Neurospora crassa OR74A: one gene and its partner. The protein of the gene in region 1 binds, or shares a complex with, the protein of each later gene. Links are inferred from orthologs where the notes say so. Each region holds a gene or a part of one and is shown in the gene's direction. Other genes may lie near its edges.

Region 1 (3,755 bases):
TTTCTCGCAGCCGGAGGTAGCGGTTAGCTTTCCCAGCTCTTGTACGTCTCTCTCTTTTCTTGTTGCTCTTGAGACTGCTGTGCTGATGGAGCACTTTTGGCGCCAAATTGGCTGTGTCAAAGTCACGTTTTGAAACGACAAGCCGCGCCTGTTGGTGACCAGCATTTGCGAATCTAGGCGCAAGGGGTCCCCTGAAACATCGGGATGGCAACGCGTTTGAAGTGGAGAAATCTAGACAAAGAGATCAGGAGTAATCGCCGTGACGCCACGATATCTCTGAAGATGTGAACTGCCAGTTTTCAATCTGATTCTTCCTTTTCAAAATATAGTGTTGCACAGTATGCCCGTGGTTCATACAGCGTGGCGATGAAGACACTCCCGCTATTCCCAAGACCCTTCCCATGTTGTGGTGTTGCTGAAGGCAGTACGTTCTTTGGTGCCATCCTATCGGTACCTCTATGATCGGGGAGTTCACATGGCAATTCCTGAAAGGTCCAATCGTTGAGAGGCTTTTGTTGTTTGCGTTGGTGAGTGGTGCGATCGGTAAAAATCGCGGGTTTCTAACAAGGAGGTGCAGGTCGTAGGTAGCACTGGGACATGAATGCCGATCCAAGCCGCACCTCATGTGACGACTCGTCAATATTGGACCTCTTGATTGTTGGAAGTGTGAAGCAGAATCCCGAAAAATATAGCAGAATGCGGCATGGAAATTGAGTTTGTGACTCTACTCAGCCCTTTCGACCATCAAGCGAGGCCATAAGCTCGCTGGATTTCTCAGCCCCTCTTGCCCGAGTGTTGTGTTACACCGACCACAACTGTTTCGGTCAAGCTGAGCAAGCAAGCCATAGCACGGGAAGCATGACTCGAGATCAGGATTATGTGTCGTAGTAAGTAAGCTCAGCAAGGTAAGCAGCCATGATCACTAATCGGGCAAAGGTCAGAAGTGCAGGCCAAAACTCAATGGCAATCCAACATATAGACTATGTACATGGGTACATATGTCCTGGCTCTCGTCCTGCGTAGGTACAATGTTATCTTGCATGATGCCTTGTGATACCTTTTCGGACAAGATTATACGAGATTGCTGGGTTGTTTCTGTCTGTATTGGTTCAATGTATGATAGACGCCTGTCTGGCGCAATACCACGAGAAAGAATCGCACAGACTTTGTGTTCCTACCTACTATACCGGTTGTTGACGATAACTCGGGGTCCCAGGGGCACTGAATGGCAGTCCGGTAGGTCTCGGTCACTCGGATCTCGCCCCACCCCACTTCGTGAATTGCCCTGAAGGCTCCCGCTCAGATCCCGTTTCACGCCATAGGTAGGAGAAAGTGTCAGTGGTAAGAGACCCCTGTGTGCATTCTCAAGGAACCGTAGAAGTACGCTGTGAGTGGCTGACAAACCTTCAGTCGATGGAGGATTCTTCTCAACCCCTTCCCGCTCATGTTTCCAAAGTTCCTTTCTCAAGCCCCACCCCCCCCTCCCCGGTTGCGTCCCTCCACTCTCCCGGGTTCCTCGTCAAAGTTGCCAGCTCCCTGCTGCAGGTTTGGCGCCATTTGGTCTCATGTAACGGTACCGAAAGCTCCGCTATGCCTTCGATATTAACACCCGTCCTTATTCACACTCATTCCTCCACTACATATTAACTGCATCGACTTCGCCAACACCATCGCTGGAAGCTGGCGCCTACTTTACCCTTTTAACTCTTTTGCGCAAAAGCGGTGGTCCCGGGTCGTCTCCCATATGAGCCGCCCTCCGAACACAGCGTGCTTTTCTCCTATGTTTTAGCCTAGGGGCTCTTGTTTCGGAATCACTGCGCTTCGAAATCTCGCTTTCCGCATGTCATTTGCGCTGCAGCGTATTTGATAAAACATCTGCCTCGTTGTACGAGCTCTTGCGGAACCAGCAAGATGGCACCAGCATATATACAAGTCCCATCTGGGCATATGGCTACCACAACCCTCAAGGTTGAGGGCATGACGTGAGTCGCACAATACTTGACTTTGTCTCGGCTCCCTCGGAGGTGTGGAGAAGACATGGTGACTGACTTCACGCAGATGCGGCGCCTGCACTTCGGCCGTGGAAGCTGGCTTCAAGGGCGTCAATGGAGTTGGTAGCGTATCGGTCAGCCTGGTAATGGAACGCGCCGTGGTCATGCACGACCCCGACCAGATAACCGCGGACAAAATCAAACAGATCATCGAAGACCGAGGGTTCGACGCCGAGGTGCTGGCCACCGACCTCCCGACGCCTATGATCGCCAGGCACCCCGAACAAGACCTGGAAGCTTCCGATGACTCCCCATTAATGATCACTACTGTCGCAATCGAGGGCATGACATGCGGCGCTTGCACATCAGCGGTCGAAAACGCATTCAAGGACGTATCCGGCGTACGACATTTTAGCATTTCCCTACTCTCCGAGAGAGCTGTTATCGAGCATGACCCGACACTGTTGAGTGCCGATGGCATCTGCGAAGCTATTGAAGACCGCGGATTTGGGGCGACTGTTGTTGAGAGTGTCCATAAGCAGCCCGAGAGAGAATCTGTTCCCGGCGCGGCGACATCCTCCCAACCGTCAAATGCGACCACGACAGTAGCTATCGAGGGTATGACTTGCGGCGCCTGCACTTCAGCTGTGGAACAAGGATTCAAGGATGTGAACGGGGTTCTGAAATTCAACATCAGCCTTCTCGCTGAGCGAGCGGTTATTTTGCACGATCCAACGTTATTGCCGGCTGACAAGATCGTCGAGATCATCGAAGATCGTGGGTTTGATGCCAAGATTCTAACCAGTACATTTGACCAGCCCAGTCAGTCTGGGGGTACTTCGACAGCACAATTCAAGATCTATGGAAATATTGACGCTGCCGCGGCCAACAAGCTAGAAGATGCGGTTCTTGCGCTGCCCGGAGTCGCCAGTGCCAAACTGGCCATTGCGACATCCAGGCTGACTGTCACCCATTTACCTAATGTTACAGGACTTCGAGCTATTGTCGAGACCGTCGAAGGCGCTGGTTTCAATGCCCTTGTGGCAGACAATGATGACAATAATGCCCAGCTGGAGTCGCTCGCCAAGACGCGAGAAATCAACGAATGGAAGCAGGCGTTCAGAATCTCGGCTGCTTTCGCTATCCCGGTCTTCTTTATCAGCATGATCTTGCCAATGTTCCTGAAGTTCCTTGACTTCGGCAAGGTCAGACTAATTCCAGGTCTATACCTTGGAGATGTGGTCTGCTTAGTTCTCACGATACCGGTTCAGTTTGGCATCGGAAAGCGCTTCTATGTTTCGGCATGGAAGTCAATAAAACATAAATCGCCGACTATGGATGTCCTTGTTGTTCTCGGCACCTCGTGTGCTTTCTTCTTCAGCATTGTCGCCATGGTCGTCTCAATATTATTTCCTCCGCACACCCGGCCGAGCACCATCTTCGATACCAGTACCATGCTGATCACCTTCATCACCTTTGGCCGTTTCCTCGAGAATCGGGCCAAGGGTCAGACATCCAAGGCACTCTCACGCCTCATGTCCTTGGCTCCATCGATGGCTACCATTTATGCAGACCCCATCGCGGCGCAAAAGGCTGCCGAGGGTTGGGATCGTAACGCAGACTCTTCCGACTCTCAAGAGCCGCGTGAAGGCAATGCAGCGGATGAGAAGGTCATTCCTACAGAGCTTATCCAGGTCGGCGACATCGTTCTCGTTCGTCCTGGTGATAAGATTCCCGCAGATGGTGTTATTGTTATGGGTGAGA
Region 2 (2,642 bases), on another chromosome or scaffold:
AGACCAGCTCCGCGCCGTGGTGGATGATGCTCGTGCGAGAATCGACGATCCTGAAGCCGACGAGGAGCAGCGCGGGGTGTGGCGGAGGATCGTGGATGTTTTGACGGGTCAAGGATGGACAGGCGGAGCAGCAGGCGGCGCGGAAGGAGGTGAAGGTAATCAGAGAGGTGATGTCATGCCTGGGGGTTGGGAAGATGATTTCGATGATGGATGGGGTGATGATGACTTTGAAGACGAGGATCACTGGTATGAGGATCAGCTTGATCCTGAACTCGAATTGGAGTTTGGACAGGGTGGCACACCCAACAGGAGGGCGACGGTGGAGGATGCGGATGATACCGACGAGGAGGAGACTGCTCGGAGGTAGATAGATGTTCCTCCGGAGAGTATAATTAGTGGAAAAGGGAAATAAATTACTGGAAGACTGCCATTTTGGACAGTGGTGTAGTAGCGAATTAGCTAAAGCGCAATGGCTGTTTCCATGAGGCAAATGCTGCTTGAACCATCGACTATTTCCATTCAGTACAGGACCAATTCAAAACATGTTGTGAAGCACTATGTACCTTTTCCGCACGGCGTTAGACCGAAACCCCTAACAAACTTCTGAGCCTTCGATATTCTACGACGCATAAACAACGACGGGCAACCCAAGGAGCAGCACAGGTATACATAGGTAGTGTATGTGTCTTCACGTTCGGTTTGAGCCGATCAAGAATCCGATGTCCAGGATCACAAGACATGAGACAGTCTCGGTGAGCAAGTTTCAAGCTCAGGGCAGTCCGTCGCTTATTTAGTACACCGACCGAGGGTTCGCTGCTAAACGCGGGTGGAGACACGAGTGTTACAGTCTGCGCGGCACTGTTAAAGCTTCGTTTGATGTGGCATTTGCAGCAAGAACAGGACAGTGGGAAAGCGGGACTGACGCCATCGCGCGACGTCTCACGCACCAACAACGGAAGCAACATGAATCCCTTCTTGGGAGATCTGCGGTTGACACGGAGTCCCCTGATACACCATCGCGAGATCATCTGAGGCGTAGCGGTACCAGGCAGGCGTACCTGACAGTAAGCACCACGCAATGAGCAAATTATTAAGCTTGTCCTCCATCTTTCCTTCCGTATCAGTAATGCGTCTCTATTGCAATCTGTCAGGTTCGCTTTTTCGCCCGTATCCCTGAGTGAAGTTACCTCGTTGTCTGTAGGGAGTTGTTCCAAGTTCCGCTCCTCCCATTTTGGCTCATTGCTATCCCAGTCGCGAAGCTTATTTAAAGTGCTGCCCCTCCCGACTCCAAGTCCGCGCTCCCCCCATTCCCGCGATCCACGAACACCTCACTTACTACTATTGTTGCACGTTTCCACACAACTGCCCCGCACCGCATCGCATACCATTGTCGCAACTTGCACTTCGATAAACTGTCATCTGAACACTGATATTACCAACCCAACAAACCCGTCAAAAATGTCCGGCTCCTACACCTACAAGTTCGATGTCACCATGACCTGCGGGGGCTGCTCCGGCGCCGTTGACCGCGTCCTCAAGAGACTTAAAGGTCCGTTGTCTCTGTCCATACCCCCGCTCCCCCCCCCCCCCCCCCAAGGTTTCCTTTTCAAATACATTCCGATTGCCCTGCCCGCCGCCCGGTACTAAAGAAGCATGCATAACTGACAATGACCAGAGAACGAATCAAACATCGTATCCTACACCGTCCTCCTCGATGAAAAGAGCGCCAACGTCACCGTCGATGACGAGTCCCCTGCCCTTTACGAAAAGATCCTCCGAACAATCAAGAAGACTGGCAAGGGTGTCAACTCCTGCGTGGAATTGGACAGCAATGGGAACAAGATTCGTGACGTGGATGTTGTGCTTAAGGACGAGTAAGGGCATGCAGGCAAGGACGATATACACACATCATATGGGGAAGACATTGGGGGCAACACCACGCCCAATATGGTGATCGGAAGAACATAGAATATGAATTAGAACAAGGGAAAGCAGGCGGTGGAGGAATTGTATAAGGCATACGAATGAATTCGGGCGGCTGAATTGCGCATGGCTTGGTTTAGAATATACCTTTTTGATTTACAATAAAGCTGTTTGTTTTAACGGATAACTACTGAGATTTGTCCATCTCGAGTGGCTATGCTATGTCAAGCTCGATGTTCCCATTTGAAGTCTTGTCGAAGTACTAATCATTCAGAGCTTGGACCTCGTCGAACACCTCAGATATAGCATCACAGCAACTAGACCAAACGAAGTGTTCAGAAAATGCATCAGAATCTATTCTACCCAGCTAACCCTACTCTCCCATATCCAACTTGATAGTAACAAACAAAAAAAGCAAACTGGTATCTCAACTCCCCGTTTTCCCCCCTTTAGTGCCTCATCGACTTTCCAATCTCGCTCCTCCACCCCTGCGCCCTCTCAAACCCGTTCGAATGCGTCTGGTAATCCACAAAAGCCTGGTACACCTCCTCCTGACTGTTCAGCACAAACGGGCCATACTGCACCACCTTCTGATCGAGCGGTGTTCCCGCAACCAAAACAAACCTCGCCGGCTTCTCCGCGCCCGCATCCACCTCGGCATAAACCGCCTCGCCCTGCGGCTCAAACACCACATTGTGGAATTGCTCCACCGTCCTCTT

What was found. The genes of interacting proteins can lie anywhere in the genome.
Region 2: the proteins of NCU08341 (region 1) and NCU03368 are in contact, whole or in part, in an NMR structure (PDB 2GGP), measured with the Saccharomyces cerevisiae proteins. The link is inferred for Neurospora crassa OR74A from reciprocal best matches to the Saccharomyces cerevisiae genes CCC2 and ATX1. Residues at the interface, in NP_010556.1 of Saccharomyces cerevisiae: Cys13, Ala15, Cys16, Thr19, Gln23, Glu60, Asp61, Cys62, Gly63, Phe64, Asp65; in NP_014140.1 of Saccharomyces cerevisiae: Thr14, Cys15, Gly17, Cys18, Ala21, Lys24, Val25, Lys28, Lys59, Lys61, Lys62, Thr63, Gly64, Lys65.

Annotation. Positions count from the first base shown.
Region 1 is NC_026501.1:5,688,031-5,691,785, forward strand, and holds the start of NCU08341 (CLAP1), read left to right. Parts: upstream 1-1,479; 5' UTR 1,480-1,911; coding exon 1,912-1,982; intron 1,983-2,058; coding exon 2,059-3,755. UniProt on the Saccharomyces cerevisiae protein: Copper-transporting P-type ATPase necessary for the proper uptake of iron. Required for export of copper from cytosol into extracytosolic compartment.
Region 2 is NC_026502.1:943,209-945,850, reverse strand, and holds NCU03368 (hypothetical protein), read left to right. Parts: upstream 1-1,058; 5' UTR 1,059-1,458; coding exon 1,459-1,549; intron 1,550-1,675; coding exon 1,676-1,878; 3' UTR 1,879-2,132; downstream 2,133-2,642. Other genes in the region: NCU03367 (hypothetical protein), read left to right, coding at 1-367; mig-8 (pirin), read right to left, coding at 2,373-2,642. UniProt on the Saccharomyces cerevisiae protein: Copper homeostasis factor that specifically transports copper to the secretory pathway for incorporation into copper enzymes destined for the cell surface or extracellular milieu.